Neurospora crassa OR74A: one gene and its partners. The protein of the gene in region 3 interacts with the protein of the main gene of each other region in a pairwise test. Links are inferred from orthologs where the notes say so. Each region holds a gene or a part of one and is shown on either strand. Other genes may lie near its edges. The genes, in order: NCU03637, NCU08067 and chs-4.

Evidence for each region.
Region 1: the proteins of chs-4 (region 3) and NCU03637 interact in a two-hybrid assay, tested with the Saccharomyces cerevisiae proteins (2 studies listed by BioGRID, with this or other methods). The link is inferred for Neurospora crassa OR74A from reciprocal best matches to the Saccharomyces cerevisiae genes CHS3 and STE24.
Region 2: the proteins of chs-4 (region 3) and NCU08067 interact in a two-hybrid assay, tested with the Saccharomyces cerevisiae proteins (2 studies listed by BioGRID, with this or other methods). The link is inferred for Neurospora crassa OR74A from reciprocal best matches to the Saccharomyces cerevisiae genes CHS3 and SHO1.

What each region holds. Positions count from the first base shown.
Region 1 is NC_026505.1:1,908,181-1,916,201, forward strand, and holds NCU03637 (CaaX prenyl protease Ste24), read left to right. Parts: upstream 1-4,017; 5' UTR 4,018-4,205; coding exon 4,206-4,220; intron 4,221-4,294; coding exon 4,295-4,477; intron 4,478-4,535; coding exon 4,536-5,282; intron 5,283-5,343; coding exon 5,344-5,787; 3' UTR 5,788-6,042; downstream 6,043-8,021. Other genes in the region: NCU03634 (hypothetical protein), read left to right, coding at 844-1,545; NCU03635 (60S ribosomal protein L38), read right to left, coding at 1,885-1,934, 2,038-2,166, 2,250-2,283, 2,367-2,396; NCU03636 (hypothetical protein), read left to right, coding at 3,095-3,146, 3,204-3,337, 3,413-3,496; NCU03638 (hypothetical protein), read left to right, coding at 6,332-6,405, 6,488-6,836; NCU03639 (lipase), read right to left, coding at 7,741-8,021. UniProt on the Saccharomyces cerevisiae protein: Proteolytically removes the C-terminal three residues of farnesylated A-factor mating pheromone. Also acts to cleave the N-terminal extension of the pheromone. Does not act on Ras.
Region 2 is NC_026501.1:154,936-163,454, reverse strand, and holds NCU08067 (osmosensor protein), read right to left. Parts: upstream 5,419-8,519; 5' UTR 4,177-5,418; coding exon 4,027-4,176; intron 3,949-4,026; coding exon 3,640-3,948; intron 3,579-3,639; coding exon 3,069-3,578; 3' UTR 2,339-3,068; downstream 1-2,338. Other genes in the region: NCU08068 (mitotic spindle biogenesis protein Spc19), read right to left, coding at 281-865; ro-10 (RO10), read right to left, coding at 6,943-7,373, 7,444-7,666. UniProt on the Saccharomyces cerevisiae protein: Plasma membrane osmosensor that activates the high osmolarity glycerol (HOG) MAPK signaling pathway in response to high osmolarity.
Region 3 is NC_026501.1:4,236,782-4,245,098, reverse strand, and holds chs-4 (chitin synthase 4), read left to right. Parts: upstream 1-3,375; 5' UTR 3,376-3,983; coding exon 3,984-7,227; intron 7,228-7,300; coding exon 7,301-7,764; 3' UTR 7,765-8,042; downstream 8,043-8,317. Other genes in the region: NCU16382 (hypothetical protein), read left to right, coding at 1-227; NCU09323 (hypothetical protein), read left to right, coding at 1,252-1,313, 1,542-1,614, 1,957-2,196. UniProt on the Saccharomyces cerevisiae protein: Polymerizes chitin, a structural polymer of the cell wall and septum, by transferring the sugar moiety of UDP-GlcNAc to the non-reducing end of the growing chitin polymer.

The DNA of each region.
Region 1 (8,021 bases), on a different chromosome or scaffold from region 3:
TACAGTTCTGCTCCCCAAGCTCCTCACTCAACTGACAGCTGCCCCATCGTCAGTTGAGTCTAGACTGCAAAGGCGGCGTGTGGCATCACCCAGAAACTCGCTTGGTCCAGGACAAACATCAGGCAGAGTCTTGGAGAACAACAAGAGGCTTCAAAAGTCCAAATCTTTGCCAAAGCTTTGAATTCCAATTGACATACACTACGTCGGATGGTCACCTGAACTTCCCCTTGTCTCGTGGGTTTGTTAGCTCATTCCTGGCTACATATCTCTGGGGCCTTGATGACAGCCTCATTAGTGGGTGGGTTCGACATGTTTGTCGAAGTGCATACATGAGTTGGCATCATGCACCGAAACCCGAACACTGGCGATGCCCGACTCTATCAAAGATCGTGGGCCCATTTCTCGTCATGTATACGACATCAGCAGGGATTTGATTAAGACTGTCCAGAAGAGTCGCAAGAACTCATTATCGCATCCATACCAGTGTTTCTTCTTACATACATCTAGCCTCAGATGACGGCCGGCAGAGCCTCTATTGATGTTGGTTGAACGACAGGGCATCATAATGATTCTGTTCTTTGGGAAGTGGGGACGCGGATGGCATGATTTATAAAGCAGGCGCATATTGTCTACTGTGTATGGTGTCCCAACTGTGCCGCATGATTACGAATTTGGAGGTAGCCTAGCTTGCGTTTCGTATCGTCCCGAATGAGCGAGTCCGAATGAACTACAACCATCACACATAAAAGCTGTGTACGGATTCAAGTTTTGCTGCATTTTGAAGCGTTCAGACCGCCAAGCTCACAACCTGGCTTTATCACTAACGCAGAACATATTTCGACGATGACTGTCACTGAAATTGCCATCATCCAAGTACACACCGGGATCACCGACTCTACCCTCCGAGATACCTTCAGCAGGGCCATCACTGCCCAAGATGCATGGTACGCTCGCGCCTTTCCCGACCGCCCCTCTTCCGCCTCGGCACGGGCCGTGGCTTGTTTCCGGGGGATCGACGACGAGACGCAGATACTTCTAACAACGAGTTGGGGCTCGGTGGAGGAGCATTGGGCATGGATCCTCAGCGACGATAACAAGCAGCAAATGGAGGGCTCAGACTTGACCAAGATCATCGCAAATCAAGGGCCGCCCAACCAGCCAGGCGGACTGATTCTTTTCCACTTGGATACGAACATCTTTGGGAATAACCAGGCCACTACCGCCAAAGACGTGATTGCACTCCTCGATAGCCCGGTCATCAGTGTCGAGAGATTCTTGGTCGACACTGAAAAGAAGGAGAGCTTTGCCGCAACGCTGCAGAAGGTGGAGGCGAGTATGGAAAAGGTCGTGCATCCTCACTTGGTCAGAAGCGGGCGCAGTGTCGATCGCGAGACGGGAGGTGAGGAGTTCGTATTGGTTTCCGGGTGGTCCTGTGTCGAAAGTCATACGCAAGAGTTCGTTGCGTCGTCTCAATCTTTCCTGTACAGTCAGCTTGCTGGTATCGCTTCGTCGGTGGAAACACAGCACTACAGACGGTTCCTGTAGTGCCCTCTTTGTCACTTTGACACTTGGTTGGGAAAATGCGCAAGTCTGGGGTCCAAGAATTGGTCGCTCATGAATGTGTATTCAGACCCTCTGCAAGGGGTTGGTTTGCGGTCGGTGAGACCTTGACAACTAAAGAGTCATCACGCTGCTCCGAAGACCTGCACCTGCTCTCGCAAGTACTCCTGTTCCCAATCCCATGAAGGTTTCCCCCGATCCGAGAACGCCGTCTTAGTTCGCGAGAATTAAATGTCCAGCACCAGAACCAGGCAGTTGAAAATCGTCATTCACTCGCTTCCCGTTCGCGCCAAAGCAGCCATCAGTTCCTCATTGTCGAGAGATTTAAGCAGTCTGCTTCTTGTTGCGCTTGGCAACGTCGGCGATGGTCAGGGCTGTAGTTTCGCATGTCAGTTCCATCCTTTTCTCGCAACTGCTTTTTTTCCGGTTTGTCCATCTCTCTCTCGAGCTATTATTCGGGGGTCGGGGAGCGCGTACAAGGAGGGAGGGAAGCCTTGAGCTTCTCAGCCTTGTCGGAGTCCTTGAGAACAAGGGTGTAGAGGTACTTCTGGCAGCGGACCTTGAACTTGATCTGCTGAGTAGCCTTGTTCTTCTTAATCCGGGCGGCTGTTGGATCAAAGCGTCTCTGTTAGAATTTCGTTCGGTTTTCGCTACGGTGTTTTCTCAGGCAGGCCCTCAGCCAAACGTACCGGAAGCGTCCTTGCGCCGGCAGATCTCGATGAACTGTAGTTGAAATCAAAGTCAGCAAAACAGCCCATTTGCACCATGCATGCACAAATTCAGCATGACGACGGGCATTTCCGTACCTTCTTGATATCTCCGATTTCCTGAGGCATTTTGGCGACTTGGTGCTGGACTTCCCGTACTTGTGGTGACGACGACAACGGAGTTCAGGAGCGTGGATGAATTTTAGGTACTATGGAAATAATTTTGTGTGGGTTTGGGGCCTGGGCGGTGCGAGTGGCTTGGTGGGGATGCGTGCGGGCAATGGGCCGCTAACGCGATGCACCCTTGTTTCCGCTGTCACTTCCGCCAGATCACACCTGCCGACGTTAGCGCAAGCTCCAAGTGTGGCTGATGCTGCACTTTTGGTAACTGCGTCGACTTTGGGAGATGCAGTGACACAGGGAGCTCGTGTGGCGTCGACTTACCTCAGTCGCAGGCAGTCACCATTAGACCATCTGGAACATCTGACGGGATTGCGCGGCAGTTCGCCTTCAAGCTCGGTCGCATCTGGTCGAGGCCTCGGGAGGACACGATTCCAGTTTGTGTAATCCAGATAGTATATAATCAAAAACTAATCACGCGGTCCTAATTGTAGAGCTTCTTTTGTTCCAAACCAAGTGCCACCTCATCAGACAACTCAGTTAGGGCGTTAACGTTTTGTAGTAGTGCGTCTACCCCTCTTGCCTTACCACCACTTATAACGAAGACAACCCTTTTCCGAACTACTCGATATGCCCACGGCACTAGATAAAGCGTTGAGATCACGAGTGAGTACCTCTTCACAACAACACAACATCCCGAAGCAATCATGCTTGTCGAATCTCTTCTGATAGTTTCCGCGAGCAAGAACGCATTTCTTGGTGAGCTTCTTTTTTAACAGTCGGGCAGTCGACCGAAGCTTGACTAACCCCACATAGCATTCGCCGGCATCGTGACGGGTGTCGCCGCATGGTCTATCTTTGGAGGCGAAGTGTTTCCTCAAGACCAGGCTGACCCAAAGGGCAATCCTGAAGAATGGACTCGCGAGGAGATGCGCAGATGGCTTGCACTGGTGAGTTTTCAAGTTTGTTAGAAGCTGACGCAGAACTCGAAGCTAATGTTGTGAGCTAACTTTGATGATCACCAGCGTAATCTTCATCCACAAGATTCGGACACCCGGGAGCAGTTACTGGAAAGGATCCAAGCGAACTTGAGAATCCCAAGACAGTGAACTGGTCGTGCTGGAGAAATCGGAGGAGCCCTATGATATGTTTATACCCCTTGAAGAATACCTAGCCTGCATTTATCTCTGTTCCATGTTCTTGAGGACATTACTATCTTCATAGCATGCTGCCCGGCGATGGTGTCGTCAGCTGGCTAGAGGACACATGGCTGTTGAATCCTGTTCTCCCATCGTACTTGCATACTCGTGATCCTAACCGCTAAATACAAGATCATAAACCGGAAGCCACACGATATGACTACATACTATAGACATCGGGAAATGCGCCTTGATGACAACAGGAAACACTGTTATGTTCGGAGATCTGTAGGGTGACCCGGCAACATGCGAACAATCCAGCGTTGCGTCCGGGTTCGCGGCGGGGGAACCTCTACGACCGGGCTTATCGATAAGATTTACCGAGCGGGGCGAGCGCAAGGAGAAGTAGCCCGACCCAATCAGCATGTGTAACTTCTAGTGTTGGCGACTGCGCCATACACAGCAGGGTACGTAGCGGTACATGCCTGCAAGGAAGCTCCAAGCGAAACTGGGGCAAGGACAGGTTGTTGTTACTGTTTGTACCTTGCCTGGCATTGTGCTTATAACCAATGCGGCGGACAATCTGACACGGTCTTTTGGCTTTCATTGTTCCAACAAACAAACATTCCATTTGCGCATTCGGCGGAGCCTCTAGTAGACACGCCCTTATTGCGCGACGATGGAGTTCCTTCAGGTACGTTTTGCGAAATCCTTCTCCTCTGACATCCAAGGCGTGCACCGGCTAACATGGCACTCTCAAAACGACAGCGTCTCGCGAGGTTCCTCGACCGGCCTCTCTTTCCCTGGAAGAAGCTGATCATCGGCTTCTCCCTCGCCAACTACTTCATCGAAGGTTTCCTCGGTTATCGTCAGTATCAGGTCCTCAAGAAGACCAAGGTCCCCAAGGTGTTGGAGCATGAGGTGTCCCAGGAGGTCTTTGACAAGAGTCAGGTACGATATCCCCTAGGCTACGGGCCAACCGGCCACCATTCTCTGACACACGATACAGGCATACGGACGCGCCAAGGCAAAGTTCGAGTTCTTCAGCGGTATCTACGGTCAAATCCAAAACATCTTGTTCTATCAGTTCGACGTCCTCCCGAAGCTATGGTCATTCGCCGGCAACCTCCTCGTTCGGTTCGCGCCAGCCAGGTTCTCCGGCGAAATCTCGCAATCTATCGTCTTCGTCCTGTCCTTTGTCGTCATCTCCCAGATTCTCTCGCTACCGACTAGCCTCTACCACACTTTTGTCTTGGAGGAGAAGTTCGGTTTCAACAAGTCGTCTGCCAAGCTTTGGATTACCGACAAGATCAAGTCCCTCTTCTTGACCTTCGTTCTCACGCCTCCGATCCTCGCCGGCTTTTTAGCTATCGTGCAAAAGACTGGAAACCAGTTCTTCTACTATCTCTGGGTTTTCGTCGCTGGTCTCCAGGTTGTCATGATCACCATCTACCCGATTTTCATTCTGCCTCTGTTTAACAAGCTCTCTCCTCTTGAGGAGGGTGAGCTCAAGAGCAGCGTGGAGGATCTCGCCAAGAAGCTCAAGTTCCCCCTCTCCGAGTTGCACGTCATTGATGGCAGCAAGCGCAGTGCCCACAGCAACGCTTATTTCTTCGGCATGCCCTGGAAGAAGCACATTGTCATTTATGATACCCTAATTGAAAAGAGCGAGACCCAGGAAGTTGTTGCCGTTCTTGCACACGAGCTGGGTCACTGGAAGTTGGGTCACACCACTAGTCTCTTTGGCATCTCCCAGGTAAGCTGATGCTGCTTTGTTATCCCGCTGTTTACCACGAATTGTGATTGACAATGCATAGGCCCACTTCTTCGCCATTTTCTCTCTCTTCTCCGTTTTCATCAACAACAACTCCCTTTATGCCGACTTTGGCTTCCACACGGTGCACCCTATCATCGTTGGATTCCTTCTCTTCTCGGACGTCCTTGGCCCTACCGACACCCTCATCAAGCTGGGCATGAATGTTCTCAGCCGCAAGTTCGAGTTCCAGGCTGATGAGTTCGCCAACAAGCTTGGCTACAATGCGGAGCTCGCTCGCTCCTTGATCAAGCTCCAGATCCAGAACCTCAGCACTATGGATGCTGATTGGATGTTCGCCACTTACCACTTCTCGCACCCCATTTTGACCGAGAGACTGAAGGCTCTCAACTGGCAGTCCACTGGAAAGGTTGAGGGCAAGGAGAAGGCCAAGGATGGTGAAGAGAAGATTGATGTTGCTACTGCCACTGGGCGGGATGAGCTCTAAGCCAGTGAAGGATGATGCAAATGAGAAGGTGGATGAGGAATTGATAAATAAGGCTGACATGCGCGGGATCACAAATCAAAGGAAATCAGCACACTCAGCGAAGAGTACCCTACTCTATATTGCTTTTAAATCTTCAATTTTTGATAGACAATCTAGAAAGAATCTGGCTTCCATTACTGAACTGAACAGGACGGAGTTCATCAACCTTGAACCTGGAACTTGTTATGCGGTTCATTACCGAATGCAGACCATATTGTCGAGGTAACACAGATGAAATACTTAACCCTAACCCTTGCTTCCCACAGTAGCAGCTGGCAACCGGGTGCAAAAAGCTCTCCCCGGACCCCGGCCGATCAATCGAACTTTGGACGGAGCCGATCCAGCAACCGCGCCCGCTCGTCGCGAACCACTCTATAGGATCCCCGAAACGCTTTGTGTTCGTCCCGGCGCATTCGGTCTCGCCCGGTCCTGTTCCACCCCCGCAATCCTTTGACGTCGACTACCACCACTACCATCATCGGCGACAACCACATTTGTAGACAAAATGTCCAGGATTTTCTCGTCGGCCCTCCAGGCTGTTTTCAAGCCGAGCGCTTTTCTTCCCAAGACTGCCACTCGGTACGCTGTTCTGCTCTTGCCTTCCCTCCCCACCCGCATGCCAAAACACAAACATAGTAACTGACCACTTCCCTGAATACAGCTCATTCTCCATCCTCCCCTCCCTCCGTCCCGCCACCTTGTCTTCCACCCCCAGTACCATCTTCCGCGCCCCCAACGCCATCACCGCGCCCTCGGCCTCCCCTAGTGCTACTACCGGTATCGACGGCGAAGTTCTCGACCTCCTCTCCGCATCCTCCCTTATTTCAAGTCATCCGGCGCTTAGCGGGTTGGGCTCCCAGATCCGCTGCGGCCCGCGCCCGACGATGAGCGGGGCGACGAGGCTGGTGCAGAAGCGCAGACACGGTTTTTTGAGCAGAGTCAAGACCAAGAATGGGCAGAAGACGCTGAAGAGGAGGCTGGCAAAGGGGAGGTTGAGGTTGAGTGCTTAAGTGGCTAGATGCTTGACTGAGGCCTGCGGGATGTGAATGAGTGGAAATGGAAAAAAAAAGGAGAAGGCGGAAGTAAGGAGACACAATGGAGGGTTCGAGGAGCAACTATGTCGACGACGGCTGCGGTACCCCTGGTCTGGCACGCTGGTTTCTGTTCAGATCAGGAGTTCATGAAGCTCCAGAGACGGTCAAGGGATTGCGCTTGGTCTCCTATTGTTTACGATCCGAGACGAAATCGCATGCCGAAAAGCATCTCGCAGCTACCTTTTCAACGACCACTCACTCGACCCTGATAATCATGGCGACCTGGGGAGGCAGGTATTCTGTGGCCCTCTCTACTGGTACAACTGGAACCGGTCATGAAAAACTGCCAACAGCACGGAGGACCTTGGAGGGTTGCGAAATGGCCGGGATTTTGTGCCGCAAGCAGTCGATAACCAGATCAACCCGAACGTACCGCTACGAGAAACTTGTACACTATGATAAATACGACCTGTTATACTCACCACTTTTACCAGCTTGTTTTGTACAAATTTTCAAGATGTAAGACTTTTTTTCTTTTCTTCCACACCTGGCGTGATCACTTTTGAAGCTGAAGAACTGGACTACGTTGTGTCATGATTGTTCGCTCTGTTTCTGCGATACGACGTCGCTTGTTGTTTCGCTTTGAGTTCGGCCCTTCTTGACAGTCCTAGGATCACTTTTTGCTACCAAGTGGCACTCAGCAGCTAAGAACAAACGGCCAACACAGGTCACGTCCAATCATGGCAAGGCATCCATGAAGGTGATTTCACTGGCGTCTCATTGCTACTATTCACAAAGCTGTCTTCCAAACTTGTATTCACAAATCATGCCTTATTTCACTTTTTTTATTGTGATTCCCACATTGCAACCCTTGATGCTCCTAATGAAGGTCGTTGCTATTGACAAAATTTACATCCTCGACAACCCACTGGTTCAAGCGAGACTCGAGCTCCTCGTCACTGACGTCGCTAGATGCGACGTTGGATTCAGCCCTCTTCCAGTTGAAGCCGCCAGGCGAGCAACCGGCAATGTCCTCAAAGTAGTGAAGGTGGTCATCGCGTTTGAAGCCGAGGGTAGCGGCGTTGCAGTCGATGCTGGCATAGCCGGGGCAAATCTTGACCTGGCTGGTGGTGGGCACAGCGGCCTGGATCCACCACTCGG
Region 2 (8,519 bases), about 4.1 Mb from region 3:
CCAAAGGAAGAAGTGCAAGCGATTCTAGCCATGCAGAAGTGGAATGACGTGGCGAGGCTGTCGATACCCTGCCCTGACTCACGACGGTATCCTCTCGAGACCCCTAAACCATGCATGAGTCTCTTGACCCGGTGTCCAGTTCGGCACATGGGAATAGACAGCTACTGTGTCCGTCCACGACCGTGGCGGCCAAGCCGTCCCTCCTTTCCAGATCCGTAAGCATTCTGGTACCGCGGGTTCGTTTGCGGGTGTATAATGCCGTTTCCCGTATAAACTTCCGTCACAGCACCGGCCCACCTCCCTGCTGCTCCAACCTCATCCTCAACTCCCTCTCCTTCTGGGCCACCTCCATCTCCAACCGTTCGACACTATACTTGAGTGCCTCCTTGCGCTGCCTGACCACTTTGGCTCTCAGCGCAGCCTCCCCATTGAGCTTCTTCCCCCCACTTCCACTTCCGGCCTCCTTAGTACCACCACCCTTCTTCTGTATGCCGCCTCCTGCACCACCACTTTTCTGTTCTCGATTGTAATTCGACAGTCTCCCGCCATTGAGCTCACACCTGGCCTTGAGCGTCTCCACCCTCCTACCTTTTCGCTCCAGCTCTTTGTCCACCCTCTCCAGCAGCAGCTCGATGAACGGGCCGATTTCGTCGCGTAATGAAGCTTCGGCAGCTTGTAAAGTCGGTTGGGGGATCAGTTCGTAGTGCCGAACAGTTTTGAGGACAGAGGAGAGTCGGGGGAAGTCGGAGGTGGACGAGTCGAGGAGGGAGAGGGAAGAGGAGAGGAGGTTGAGAGAGGAATGGAGAGGCGGGAGGAGGGTGGAGAAGGAGGGGGGTGGTGGGTTGTAATTGTAGTTGTAGTTCATCTTGGTGATCGGGGTGGACAATTCTGGTCCGACGGTTTTTGAATAAATCTCTAGTCGTGACTAAAGAGGCTCGCGACTTGGAGATAGGGAGTCTGCGCCGGCTGTTTGGTGGCTTGGGGATTGTGGGCTGGTGCTCTCTCGCGGTTTGTTTACTTTCGGCGCGGTGGTCGTTTGTCTATGGAAATGGATCGCGATTTGGTCTAGCCCAGTTGGATATGGCGACAGTCCTTGTCTGTGTTCGAATGGAGATATGCGGATAGTCGTTGCCCCGTGTTGATCTGGGGAAGCGAAGAGGCAAAGATGAAGACGGTCGGAGGGGGAAAGTGGAAAGCCGAAGAAAAAAAAGACGATCCGTCGCGTTTCTTGTCTTCGCGCGTCATAGGTACCTACCTAACATGCCGCCTAGACTTAGTGTGTATGTACCTACTGGGGGAGCCTTCCCGATCCCGCTGTGGGGGACACTGCAGCCCCCTGAACGGTGGACCCTTTTGGTGGGACAACCCGTGCACTAACCTAACGGCTGCCCTGTGGGGCTGTTAGTGCCGTGCCTTGCATCACCCCGCCTTCAGATTCCATGTCTTCAACCCCATCTTCCGTTGTCCTGATCTTCAGCTTCCGCCCTCCCAGATCCATCTCCCCCCAAGCAGTGCCGTACTACCTACCACCGTTTTCCTCTACTTCGACCCTTCAAAACGTCCTCAACTATTCGATCACAGACAAGAACACGAGCTGGGCAAAGCAAGGTCAACTAAACGAGCACGACGAGAAACGTAGGTAGCGAACAGAGTCGTCGTCGAGAGAGCTGAAGAGCCACGCTTCCGGCTTCGGATGATTCAGACCTGGCTATAGGCGAATCTTGAGATACATAGGTAAGAACCCAGGCCGAGAAAGAATGGACACCTCATCGATGTCGAATAGTCAAGTTTCTTGTGGTGGAAATTGTAAACATATGGATAGTAAGAGCAATATGACGAGAAGGAGCACAAGCGGCCTACGGAGGAAGATTGGCACGATGGGTACCATCAGAACCAGAGCGGTGACGGCGTAGAATAATACCTACAATGAAACTGGGTGCGGAGATGGATGAAGCTACGTAAGTTACCAACAGAGAGCAACGCAATGAACTGGGGAAATACCTCTAGAGTAGAGATGTCAGTTCCTTGGACGGGCATGTTTGCAACCAATCTGCTATTGCTTTAGCGGACTACTACAATTGTAACAAACTACCTATGTAGTGTACATTCATAGCTGTCTTTGTCACTAGGTGGCTGGCTGTTTCCATGTTGGACCATAACAATGTAAGCAATATCCCTGTCCGAGATGTGATGGACATGGGTAGTGGTGATGAGCGACCTGGAGCGAGGTTAGGTAAGATCCTCGCATCTCCACACCTTCGCTCCTGGCTAATTTCGATAATCTCGGATTTTCCTCCATCATGAAGATTGGAAATTGGCGATTGAGACCCGCAAATTGGGAGGCAGCCAACAAGCTCAATTAATCATCGGACTCGGTACATTATCGATATCATGATCAAGCGGACTGTGTCTTCATTCTCTACAGGTAGGTAGTTCCAACATCCCCAACTCCGGCCGCTGGATGTTCAATTGCTGCTTGTGGGTACATCTCCTTTTGGGTTCACAGCCTCCATCCGTCCGTCCATCTTCTCTCCGTTCCTCGCCATGCATGAAATTCGTAAAAACAGCACCCATTTCCATCTTCCCCCGCTTTTTTGTCCTGTTCCCTCTTCCATTGCCATTCTCCAGTAGCGGCCTATCCTCTGCCGTAGCTGCCGAACGCAAAATAGAAGACATGTAAAGTTGATACAAGAACTAGTGTAACACGAGAAAGGAAAGACATTGAGAAAAAGGGTAAGAGAAGATAGAAAAATGACATTGCAAGAAAAAAGGGAAAAAAAACTCCATTTCCACCCAAACCTTGCCCCGTCCGCATCCAACATCCGGTTTCGCCTTCGTTTCCAAACGAGCCACGGTTTTTGGTGTGTCGCATTACGAGTCCCGTGGGTGGTCGAGAAGAAAGTGTAACGTTAATGTGGGTATAAAACGCCGACTCAAAAGAAAGATAGATAAAAGAAAAAAAACCACTTCATGATTTTGTTTTGTACTGGCGGTTCACACGCCAAATCCTCTCTTTTCAAAAAGACGAAGAAAAACCTCAACTCCATCCCCGACCCATTCAAGCCCGCTCATAGCAAAATCAAGTAATTGCTCGGCGCAATACCCGTTTCTCCATTCTCCTTCCGTGCCTGCCACCACCGCCCGCTCACGTCGCTAATCTCCAGCACCTCATGCTTGGAGAAACTAATCTCGTTGGCATCGTCCGGGTTGGCCTCATAGCTGAATATCGCCTTGGCCCTGTACGGGTACTCCGTCGGCGGAACGATCTCCCCTTCTCCTTGCGGCTTGGGGATGTTGTTGGACGAGAAACCCTGGGGAATCTGCGACTGGCGAGCGGGGTTTTCGAGCCCGTTGAGCTGACCCGTGTACATTTGCGGAGGCTGGAGGCCCGAGGCCGAGGTTTCAGGGCGCATGTTGTAGGAGCCGTAAGCATTGGGAGAGGAGAGACCGTTGTGGTTCATGGTTTGGCGGCTCATGTGATGCGCAGGGAGGGTGGATTCCTTGGTCAGCGCAAAGGAGTCGATGTAGGCACGGGGAACAGCCGATGGGGCGGAGCCAAAGTAGAATATCCAGATGATCTGGCGGGACGTTAGCAAATGGGGTCAGCCAGCTGGGGGAAGTTAGCGGGGAACCGCATACCGTCACCATGGACAACAAGATATACCCAGCCGCTGTCGCCTCCATGGACGCAACGCCACTGTAAATCAGGTTGTTGATCGACGACGTGGAGCCGACCAGCCCGACGGCCAGGTAGCCAACGATGGCGACATGGTAGGTCTGAGCGCTGTCCGAGGCGATGACGATGAAAATGCCGAGAATGAGGAAGAAGTTGAAGACGAGGGTGAACCAGCTGTAGGTTGGCCAAACAATGACGGGAGCCCCATTCGATCCGTCATTTTGGTCCCTAAAGCCAAAGATGGATCCAAACAGGATGATGATCCATGACAGCTGTGGTGATTGTCAGTTCGTGAAGGCGACAGGACGGGAAAAGGGTGGACGCCAGCGCGCGCGCGTATGGAAACTCACAGTAGCAATAGAAGTAGTGGCCAGAGCAAATGGGTCACCAATAATGTTGCCCATGTCTATGCCTTTTCGGCGGTACGAGTTCCTGCCGTGTTCCATTTTGGGGTTGTTGAAGGACGGGGGATAGTTAACCGATCCTCCGTACGATTGCATCAAGGGCGAAGGTCGCCAAGGAAGAGCGTCCTCTCGGGATATTCGAGGTCCGTGTTATAAGTGATGGACCGACGTGTGTGGGACACTTTAGTTGACGCACACCTTCACTTGGGGTATAAGATGACGGCGAGGGGCCGTGTGTGTGTCGTATTCCGGGGACCAGTCCGCGGTTGGTAATGCGATGTGTTTGTTCTGCAATGACAGATGCAATGTCACGAAAAAAAAAAGAGAGGAAGTTCGACGGCGACAAGTGGTCGAAGTCGAAGCAAGAAATTCGGGTCGGGTAGCAATTGTCGTTTGCTGCAAGACGTTGAGCGAGGAATTCGGTGTCCAGCAACGCGGTATGGCTCGTCTCGGTCGTTGCAAATATGGGTAGGTAGTAATTGGGCGATGTATGGAAATGAGTCGAAGGTAGGACAGTTGCAATGTTATTGAAAGATTGGGTGGTCGCTGTCGGGCTGCTCCGTCGGGTGTTTGTTGGTTGGCAATCCGCAAAGAGGAGGCTGAGTCCAAGGGAAGTGGCCGTCGGGTACTCCAAGGACACTCAAGACGAGGACAGAGCCTTTGAATCTTCAGGGGAAATAAGCAACGAGTCGGTCGCACGGGTCGGGAGATGTGACGGTACGGTAGTTGTCCGTTGGAACGAATGGCGGCGGCGGTACGGTATGGGTAGATACGGTAAACACGCAAGATCAATCGGTAGTTGGAAGAAGGGCGGTAGAAGAGTCCACTGGAAGTCTGGAAATGGTCCTGGATTCCTTTTTCCTGTTTTCTTTCTTCTTTTGTTTCCCTTTTTCTTTGTTTGTCCGGTGTATGACGGTAGTCGGGTGTGATATCTCGGTACCTGCCAACGTCGTATTGTACTATCCCCCCGTCTTGTTCCGGTTCGCGTTAATAAAGGGCTCAGCTCAGCTCAGGGTCGGACAATCGTATGCTGTCGTCGTCGTCGTCGTCGTCGTCGTCGTCGAGGTTGATGAGGTTGAGGGAACGAAGGGAGCGATTGATGGATTGAGCAAATTGTTGTTGGACGTGGCTGGGGCGATGATCAACGCCGGCCAATGGAGAAGTGAAAGGGAAGAAAAATTGAAGGAGGGAACGAACAGAAATGAGGGGATCGCACGGGCAGGACGGACGGACGGGGACGTGAAAAGGGAAATGGTGTGTGTGTGGGTGTGGGTGACGACGGCTGGGTGGTGGTGGGAGATCCGGAATGGAAGGCCAACGACGGGGCCTGGCTGAGGGACTCCGGGGCGGGCAGCAACCGGGGGGGGATGAGGTGGCTGCTGCTGTGGAAACGAGTGGACGAGACCGCGCAAGAGAAGTGAGGAAGGGACCAACAATGGAGCCCACTGAATCCACTGAAGATGGGGGGGAGCCATGTCCGCTGTGGAGGCTCTGGACTCCTGGAGTGCGTTGCCTGGCGGCTGCTCGCTGCACAATGAATGAATCCTTCCCTTGCAGTGACATAGGTACAATGTCCGGGCAACACGCGGCAACACTGCGAACGAGCCAATCGCATTATTGCATTTGCTGGGCTAATGAATGCAATGTCCAGTCAGAAGAGGCACGGTCCTCAATCTCACTGCAAATCGTTAGGCCAAGACATTCCAGGCGCTGCTTACCTACTGTACCTCTAGCGGCTGTGTGGGGACGGGAGCATGGAGCAAATTAGAGGTACACAGACACAGGGCGGGCTACTGTAGCAGCTCGATTTCTTTTTCTGCACTTTTTGACAGTCTTTGTAGCTGATGGTGGTGATTGATGGGGAGTCATACCTACCTAGAGGTAGACTCTGCTTGGGTGATTAACCTGTTCAAAGTGAATGATGGCTCTAGGGTACTGGGTCATGGCCAGGACATCTTTATTTTTATTCTTGTTTTCTTCTTCCATCTTGATATATCTTACCTCGACACTGTTCAAACTCATAGTCAAAAAGTCTCAAACATTCACAACATTGTAACACTCGGAAGTCAGTCAGGCAGCTAGCCATGTGGCTTGCGTCTGTGCTCCATTCACTCATTGCTAGGTCGTCCAGAAACATCGTGACCGACTGTAAATGATAGGCTGAGAGCTGGCTACCATGCGACATCACTCAGCTGAGCTCGGTGACGGGCAGAAAATGTCAACAGAGAGACGGATTCACCATGCCACGAATCCACACCCATGCAGCATGCAGGCAGGGGCTTTAGGCTCGCCGCGTGAGTTCTAGGGCAACGCCGTTCGTTTCGGAATCCCATCTGCAGGAGCCAAACAATCACTGCCGGCTATCAAGCGTGTTTGTGACGTTTGTAAAAAGCCTCTCCCGTGAATTCTCATTCCAGATAGAGCGCTACCACAGCACCGTCGATCTGGTTTTTGTCGGTGCTAACGGCGAGCAGAGTGTTGATATCGGCTGAACATTCCAGTGGGCCAAAGATGACGCCCGACTCCCGCGCATCTGTCGCGTGATATCTGCCGCGCAATGACATCTGCCCCATTCCCTTGGTCACTAGCATTGTTCTCGTACGAATGTGCCAACCACTGTTGATCTGCTCTTCACACTTCGTAAAGTGCACGCGCGCTACCAACGGCGTGTCGTATTCCATACGCACAACCCCAGTGATTTGTTCGCGGTCGCCTAACCTGTTGATCAATCGTGACGCCGTTCTCTAGCGGCGGTAAAATGGCTTCCGTGTGAGTTTTGTTTCCCGCAAGCCAAAATCCATGCTCCTCCGCTTCACTAGCCATGTATCGCATAATCTTGTCTCGAACCTCCTCTTTGCCTTCTCACTCTATAGCGGCGTCCATCTCCCTCACCCTCTCCGCTCTCCTTACCCTCAATTCGCACTTTTCCACCCTCGCTTCACCCTCCGCCACAAACTTGCCGTACCCCAGCACCCTCTTCTCATACCATGCCTTCATCACGGCTTCGCTCCTCTCCCTGAGCTCCGCTATTTCCGCCTCTTGCGCCAACTGCATGGCCTCCAGTCCCTTCATCCGGGGTATCAAGCTCGCCAACTCGGCCGAGAGTTTGCTGTCGGGAATCGCGGATTCAATGGTGTTGGCTGGGGCGGCTGCAACTAGGGCGGACGCGGTCTGGGGAAACTGGGAGGCGTAGGAAAGGACTGTCGCGAGAATGGCAGCAGGCGGGAGGTCCGTTGGTGGGAGCTTTTGATCGGCCGAGGGGGAGGTGTGGAAGAGTGTGGGGTTGGCTTTGTCTGGTTTGGGGCCTCTGGTTAGCTTTGAAGTGATGCGAAATGGAAAGGTGGGAGACAGAGAGGGACGTACGAATTTTAAGCAGCTCGGCGTACACGCGAAAGCGCCGAATGAGCAGATTGAAGCGGTGTTCAAGCTGGGCAAGAGAGGTCGTTGCGGAGGAAGAGGGCGCTTGCGTTGGAGGGTCGGAGGGGCCGTAGAGGATGTGCTCGATCCGCCGGAGACGGGATTCGAGGAGGGAGATGGTGGCTAGAGACGTTTTGTCGAGGCTTGAGGTTTCCTGGGAGACGTCCATGGTGTTGGTGGGCGAGTTCTGTTGGTAATTGGGGTTATGCGATGCGGTATCGGTGGTATCGGTTATACCCGCCTCGAGGGGATGTCGCAAAGATGAATTAAGATGGTAAACAGAAGCTGAGCTCAAGCAGTGGCAATTGTCCAGAGGAAAAAGAACCTTGACGGCGCGTGTCTAGACCGATGACGGGTCGTGTAAGGCTGTAAGGTAACATACCGTTCAATTCAACCCCGCCTCCGCATCCCGGACACCGCCCGTTGGACAGCGACTGGTGCCCGGACAACACAAGGCCCTGCTCCTGGACAGTGGAACACTGAACAAGCTACCTACCACTGTAAACTCTCATAAGGCTGGAGCTTGGCTTTTTTGATCTTGTTATTTCAATGACCCCCGATAGTTCACCGCTGATCCACCTGGAAGGCTTCTCTTCCCCTGAACGATCTTGTTTCACTCGTAAATTACACTCGTTGGATGTTAGTGCTGCGGTGTGGAGTTAGTGACGGAGTAAGGTACCGAACCCGTAGGTACCTACTATGTACAAATGTGAAACAAAAGGCCCGTGTGACTGAGCAATGACAGTGAGCTTGGCGTTCGCGGTACCTTTTCTGTAGAGGTAGCTGACACCTTCCCTGGAACCCCCATCGAATCCCCAGAACAAGGAAGACCCGTCATTCCCGTCTGTGCTGGCGCTGTTCTCCATTGCCCACGTTGCGTGGATGTCCTTGTCAGCTCGCTAAAGTTGGCTTTTCTACTTTTCTTAACAAATAAAGTCTCGTCATCATCATCGATCCCTTTTTTTTCTTCCCGTATGAGTTATCGAACACGCGACCATATCATCCATCCAACATCGGATCGA
Region 3 (8,317 bases):
TACTGCGATGGAGGAGACTTTCCAGGGTCCCGGTGTTTAGCCCACCATTGTTACTGTGCGGAGTGCTCCATTGCACAAAGAGAACTCCATCAGACGGCCGGGCTTCCGGACTGTCGGGCATGAAGGTCCCCGTACGAACTTCTGTGTTCATTGGTTCTCACAAAATCTTGAAAAAAATTGATGGATCTGGTGGTGACGATAGGGGTGCAGTTTGGCTAGGCTGCTAGGGTACTCTAGCTACTCTAGCTTGCTTCACAGGGTTGGTGAGACTGGCGGGATTTTTTTACATACAGAACATGGAAGAGCGGCGGGGTTAGTGTTCACCAACCCGGGCTTCGTAGCACCCCGCGCCTTCCCCGTGGCCTTGGGACATCGTCCCGTTTGTCCGTTCTCCCGAGCTTGTGGATAGGCATCTCTATCATGAAATTTTCCCATGCAATGATGCAACACGCTTTACAGGTAACCCCACGGCAGACCGTACAGGACAACACAAAAGAAAAATTCATGAATTGTCAAATGCCGGCCGCTAACAACATCGGGTAGAAATGTGGTCCAGCAGAGACGGTGAGAGAATCCCTATCTCGGATATAACATGATGCGGCTTGTGTGGACAATGAGAGGACTTGTCTTTTGTTGCATCGTTTGCTCAGAGTCAGCGCAACTTCGTATCGATGGATAGTGTCGAGGTCAGCGTGACCACCATCACTTTGACGCCCATTTCGCGCAATACGAAGCTGACGGCTTGCCCTTTTGGGGAACTGAGAAAGGGCATGACCCAATCACAATTTTTTGATCCTACACAACCCCCTTGCTTTCAAAATATTCGCCGTCGACGTTTCGACAGTTGAAACGCACGCTCAACACAAAGCCGATGAACAACAGGGAGATAAACCTTGTATGGTTAGTTCTTCTTCGAAAGTTACACCAATATTCAATACAAAAAGACTTCTTTCGACGTGCGAGTCGCACGTATCCGGGTAGACCATCAAGAGACGAAGAGCCTACTCTGGCCACCTGCAATTGGGTTGCACGACGCGGTGTAAGGAGTGTGGGATGGATGGCTTTAGTTAGCGATCACACTGACTGAAGAAGATCGCTACTACTTCAATATCAACCCCGTGGGGACGGACCTATGTGAGGTTTTTCCCTTCTCGCACGGTAGTGGATATTGGAATCTGTGAATTGCTACTAAGAAGTTGGTCCGTCTTATCCATCCAAGAACAACCACAAAATTTCAAACAACACACAAGCATGCCGAGCAAGAGAAGAACTCGTCTCAAGATTCTGACCGCTACATATGGACGAGACATCTAGTATGTAGTGTAAAAGGGGATGGGGAATAAGCGAGAATATCTCGCGCGCTCCATGCAATATATGTACTGGGTCTCCGTAAACTTCTCCCTGGTGGTTTGCCCAGACAAGGCGGGGGAAAAACGTGGGTACCACGGCTCGAGACTGGGGTCATGGAGGTTCATGGAGTTCATCTGAATTCCAGGGTCCATGAGTGACAAACTGCACTACTGTACTTACTTTCACACTAGTTTACGGTGGGGACGTAAAGCGAGATTGACGCTCCCAGACGGCCTCATTCGATGGAAAATCACCGAAAATGAGGTAGCCCCGCCTTGACCGACTGCTACCGGGCTTGATATTGTTAATTAGTGATCTAAGAACGAGGAGGGGCTTCATCGGATACGAGAGACCTCATGCCGTCCATTCTCTTGTTTAGTTGTTCAATATCCTCCAAAAGCGTAATCATAAGAGGGGGGGTGTCTCACGTGAATGACACACAGCACTCACCAGTGCCCATTTAGTGTACAATACAGGGAAGAATCAGTGCGGTGGATCCGGGGTGTGCCCCGCGTTATCCCGACGTCAATGACGGTGAATGTCATGCATGCCCGGCTCGGCGTGTTGATGCACATCTTTTATGCACATAATACTATATTTATATAGAAATTCCCCATTGCACTATGGGAGACCGCGTCCGGAAAGACACAAATCAGGTTGTACACAGTAATTTTGAAACCGAAGAACTCAACTGGACTTCTCAAGGCGCCACGGTTTGCGCGCGAGTTGTGGGCGGGATCACACGCTGTGCTCATCTTTTCTCCAGCCGCAGCTGAGGCTCGCTCCAGTCCAGTCGAGCACTCCATCGCCGGAAGGCTACCGGAGCTTTACACACTTCTTGACTGAATTGTGAGATGCTTTAGTGGGCGTGACCGGCGCCCGCATTTGAGCGCGGTACAGCCACTTGATATACCGCAACTCGGTTTCAGTGTTGCCCCAAGGCTCCGGGCTAGTTCGGGGTAGTTTGCGATGGCAGCCATTAAGAAATGAGATGAACGATGCGTCCCGTGGCGAAGCCGGAGACATTGATTGATCAAGAAAGAAGACTGAGTGCGAAGTATGCATACAGTGGGGAGTTTCGTGAGGTTCCAGAAGCGCACCGTGTCATGCGGCTGGGATTCCACTGGAGAGCGGAGCGCAGATCGCCCAGAGCCACTGCCCCTGCACTTCGTTGTGGTAGATCATCAGACGAAACAATGAGAGGCAACCTGAACATCAACTGTCTGTGAGTTCATTGCCAGCTACCTACGTCTATGTAAACAAGCCGGAAGTTTCCCTCCAATTTCTTCCATGTCACCTCGGACATCATGCCGACCACACTTCATCAACCCGTCTCACATGTTGCAACTTTGCCGTGCCGTTCGTACCAAACCCGTTCCTGGGTGAACATCGTCCAATCTTTGCGCTTTGGTCTAGAATTGTGACTAGGCCACTTGGAGTTCCCACTGCCATCCTAGAATAGTTCAGAGCTACATCCCAACAGGCACAGAGGCGGTGTTGCGCATTTTAGTAATTCGAGTTCCCCACCGGCTTTATGAGCTCTTCACCTTTCTCTCTGCCGGATTTTGTCCATTCTGTAGCTCGTCGTGAGGTCATGCTTTGCTTGTACTAGAAGTGACGGTTGATGCCTCTGGTGTCGACCTCATCCACGCCGTCTCTGTGCTCTGCACATTAACATCATAACCACCGAGCTACTGCATGGACTAAGCAAGTACGGTACCCGTAAGATCGGTGCTTGGTTGCATCGACCCTGCCTTCCCGCCGCCATCCCAAGTATTCCCTGGCACTTGTACCTGGGAGAAGACGCCCGGCAGCTTGTCAGAGCAGGGACCATTACGATGGAACGGTCCGCTCTGCAGAACGTCGAACTTTTCAGAATTTCGCAGGGCAACCATCGCGAGCTGGGCGCTGTGGGGTTTTAGCCACGCGCTGGCGCGGTAGGTGTTTGAGGGAGAACACGACCTGTGAGAGTGGAATCGAGGAATCTGGATTGGAAAAAGGGACAAGAAAATCGAGCGGGTTGGGCGAAGTTGGTTGCCATAGTGCGCAGCTGATTGCCAAGTGGAATTCCTTCCTGGTCGTCGGGTTTCTCTTAGAGGCTCCTTGGCTCCGTCATGCCCTGGAACGAAACAGTCCATCAAGTTAACAGGACGGGCGTTTGTCATTGGTCCAACTGTTAAGAGCGCCTGCGCCCCCCTTCTACCTTCCCCTTCTGCCCTTCCCGTCTCCTGAACAACACCGTTCGACTCTGCTTTTAGGCCTGCCTGGGCGGCCCACTGCAGTATTCCCAACCTCCCTCGTCGGTTCCGCATTGCAAGCAATTGGAACTGGGACGAGCCGCGTTCACAAAATTTGTAAGTTGGGTTCTCCATAGTAATCTACCTCTTTCCAGTCTGCTGGTATTCGGTATAGCTTGAACTGTGCAAAACGACCGACAGTCATCAGTTCCCTTGTCTTGGCCGAGGCTCATCTCGTCATTTCCTGGGCCGACTGACTGCTCCTTGCAAGTTGCGACGCGGCCAGTGACGTTGGCTCCAGTCTTCCACGACAAACCTTCTTCACCAAACATACCAGCGACTCTTCAGCCTTGCATCGATCCCGGACTCACTAACCGTCCCGCTCCATACAGCATCATGTCTCTTCCTCGGAGGCCGGGGCCGTCGCCTCCGCACGAGGAGCCACGCCGCTACCGGCAAAGCGGTTCGCGCCGCAGTCGACCACCACCCGCCGATGTTGAGACCGGATATGCTCCCATGGCAGGAGAAAGACCAAGCCAGCAGCAACGCGTACCATCGATATCTTCATTTCCGGAAACCCTCCCGTCCCCCAACCCCAATGTCGAACGAGACCCTTTGGCGCCCACCCCCGAGCCCGCACATCCATCCGGCATACCTCAGCGGAAGAGGAGTTTGATTCGACCGGAGCGCAACAGGATTGGCAAAGACCACCCCAACTATCACTACAGAAAACATGCGGCCAACATGAACACCCTACCGTCCTCAACCGGACACGACCCGATATACGAGGATCTGGAGGGAGCAACGGACGATGTATCGGGAACTGGCTCGAGGAACGACGACGATGTTTCCGAGGAGTCGCCCCCAAGAAGAAAGCACTCGACGAAAATGCAGGTCATCGAAACTGAAAAGTCCGGTGATGAAAGACGACGTCGGCGGAAATCGGATACCACAAAACATGGTAAAATTGTCAAGGCCTCCAAGGGAAAGCGCGAAAAGTCCGGAGGACTCCCTACCCCGAGCTTTTGGAACATTTACTGCGGATTCGTCACCTTCTGGTGCCCTGGCTTTGTCCTCAAGTGCTTCGGCATGCCCGAGATGGCTCAACAGAGGGCGTGGAGAGAGAAGATGGGTCTGATCAGCATTATTCTGCTCATCATGGGCTTTGTTGGCTTCATCACTTTCGGCTTCACCCAGGTGGTCTGCGGTAAACCTCCGCTCCGTTTGCGCATCAATGAGGTCGGGTCAGGATACATGATCTTCCACGGATCTGCATATGACCTCACCAAATCTCACCATCCTCCGGCCGAGGGTATCCCGCGCCGTCCGGACGGTTTGGGTGCAAACGTGATCTATGACTTGCCTCAGCATTACGGTGGACAGGACGGCAGTTTCTTGTTCCAGAACGTCAACGGCAAGTGCAAGGGTCTCATCACCAAGCAAGAGAACTCCGATGTGCCAAGCGATAAGAGCGGCAATCTGGCGTGGTACTTCCCTTGTAACACGTTCAACCAAGATGGTTCATCCAAGCCCAATACCACGATACCTTATTACCTGGGCTATGCCTGTCACACGACCGCTAACGCCAGGGACTCTTTCTATCTCGGCCTCAAGAGCTCCGCCGATGTCTACTTTACGTGGGATGACATCAAGAACAGCTCTCGAAACCTTGTTGTGTACTCTGGCCATGTTCTCGACCTTGATCTGCTTCACTGGTTCAACGACACTCAAGTCACGTATCCCGCCCGCTTCAAGGAGCTGAGGGATAAGAATACTGCTGGAAACCAGGCTATTCGTGGACGCGATATTACCCATGCTTTCCAGTCGAGCAAAGACAAGCAGATTGCCGAATGCTTTGAGGAGATCATCAAGGTCGGTTCGGTGGATACCGAGACAGTTGGCTGCATTGCGTCAAAGGTCGTTCTCTATGTGTCCCTCGTCCTTATCCTCGCGGTCGTCCTCGCCAGATTCGTCTTGGCTCTAATCTTCCAATGGTTCATCAGCAAGACGTATGCGGCTGCTAAGACCTCCCAAACGTCTGACCAGCGAAAGCGAAACCGTCAGATTGAAGACTGGACTGAAGACATTTACAGAGCTCCCCCAAGGCTACCAGGGGAGGTCGGTAGCAGTGTCGCTGGAAGCTCCGATCGTCAAAGCAAGCGCAGCAGTGCTTTCTTGCCCACACACTCTCGTTTCTCCACCGTCTACGGCAATGAGCGCGGCAATAGGAAGCCTGGACTTCCTACAACCATGGCCAGCCAGAATGCCGCTGGTCAACTACTCCATCCTGGAACCATATACGGCCAAGGAAATGAGAGTCGGTCAAGCTTCCTCAAATCTGATGCTTACGGATCAAGCAGCAGTCCAGCAGACGGCCCAGGTCCTGCCGGATTTATTCATGAAGCTGTCGTTCCTCAGCCGCCTTCCGACTGGATGCCGTTTGGTTTCCCCCTCGCTCACACCATCTGCCTTGTCACAGCCTACTCCGAGGGTGAGATGGGCGTTCGTACCACTCTGGACTCGATTGCAATGACGGACTACCCCAACAGCCACAAGGTTATCCTCGTTATTTGCGATGGTATTATCAAGGGCCACGGAGAGGAACACTCAACCCCCGATATCATTCTCGGCATGATGAAAGACCACACGATTCACCCCGATGACGTTGAGCCATTCTCTTATGTTGCGGTTGCAACTGGTTCTAAGCGCCACAACATGGCCAAGGTCTACACCGGCTTCTACGATTATGGCACTAACTCTGCCATTCCTCTGGAGAAGCAGCAGCGTGTTCCTATGATGATGGTTGTGAAGTGCGGCACTCCTGCTGAAGCCTCCAAGTCGAAGCCTGGAAACCGTGGCAAGCGTGACAGTCAGATCATCCTTATGTCTTTTCTCCAGAAGGTTATGTTCGACGAGCGTATGACGGAGCTAGAATACGAGATGTTCAATGGCTTGTGGAAGATCACGGGCATTTCTCCTGACTTCTATGAGATCGTGCTCATGGTTGACGCTGATACCAAGGTCTTCCCCGACAGTCTCACGCATATGATCTCGGCCATGGTCAAGGATCCTGAAATTATGGGTCTTTGTGGCGAGACCAAGATCGCCAACAAGCGAGCAAGCTGGGTTTCCGCCATCCAGGTATTCGAGTATTTCGTCTCTCATCATCTTGCCAAGGCTTTCGAGTCCGTCTTTGGCGGTGTCACCTGTCTTCCCGGATGTTTCTGCATGTACCGCATCAAGGCACCCAAGGGTGCCCAGAACTACTGGGTCCCTATCTTGGCCAACCCGGACGTTGTCGAACACTACTCCGAGAACGTTGTCGATACGCTGCACAAGAAGAACCTCTTGCTCCTTGGTGAGGATCGTTATCTCAGTACGCTCATGTTGCGCACGTTCCCCAAGCGTAAACAAGTATTTGTGCCTCAGGCCGTTTGCAAGACGACTGTCCCCGATGAATTCATGGTGTTGCTTTCGCAGCGCCGCAGATGGATCAACTCGACCATTCACAATCTGATGGAGCTCGTTCTTGTGCGCGATCTTTGCGGTACCTTCTGTTTCAGTATGCAGTTCATTGTCGGTATCGAGCTGATTGGTACCCTTGTGTTGCCTGCCGCCATTGCCTTTACTTTCTATGTTGGTGAGTAGCCACCAACCCCAGTTTTCTCTTCCTTTCTTGTTTGACCAACTGAAAACTAATGTCCGATACCTAGTCATCATCTCAATCATCAACTCCCCGCCACAAATCATTCCTCTTGTTCTCCTTGGTCTCATCCTCGGTCTCCCAGCCATCCTCGTCGTCGTCACAGCTCACAGCTGGTCCTACATCATCTGGATGTTTATCTACTTGCTCTCCCTGCCCGTGTGGAACTTTGTTCTGCCTACCTACGCTTTCTGGAAGTTTGACGATTTCTCATGGGGCGACACGCGCAAGACGGCCGGCGAGAAATCAAGCAAGGGTGGCCACGGAGAAGCCGAGGGAGAGTTTGATAGCAGCATGATTACCATGAAGCGCTGGGCCGAGTTTGAGCGCGACAGGCGCGTCCGCAGCACGTACTGGGCCGGCTCGAGGGACAATGTCATATCCGGGGTAGGGGGTAGTAATGGGTGGGGAAGCAGCCAGCCGAGAGGCCATGAGCAGGGGAGACACTTTGATGACTACTTTTCGGACGCTTAGGTTTTGATATGGTGTTGCTGTGTAGGGATGCCTTTGTTTTTTTTAAAGTATTACTGTTGTAGGGTAGGTAGGGTCTTTGTTCGGAGGTCAGGTGTTTGTTGGAAAAGAAGGGATCCGATTATCGAACCTGCCGGCCTCGGTTTCTTTTCATCACGTTCATCATGGACAAGGGCGATATTAATGTGGAAGTTTTGGTTGATCGGTTGGCGGGTGGGTTTTCTGTCGATAGGATTAACTCTTAGACATTATTATGTGGAAAAGATTTATTTTTCTTGGCATACATTCGTGATGGGATACCACTTCTTCCGTTCATCTATCCAGTCACAAGAACCGCTCATGAACTTCGCCATACTGCATCAGTAAGGAAGTAAGCACGAGCACATGAGAGCGCCACAATAGGCTGACTACCATGTATGTTTTCCCATATTGAATGTAGCTATCCGAAGGCAGACAGGGGGCAGCTATGTCTACTATCTAGACAGTATCTCTGTTCTGGTAAATTTGAATCGATGTTTGGGAGCACAGAGCAGTTTAGGCCAGGCGAACAATGGGC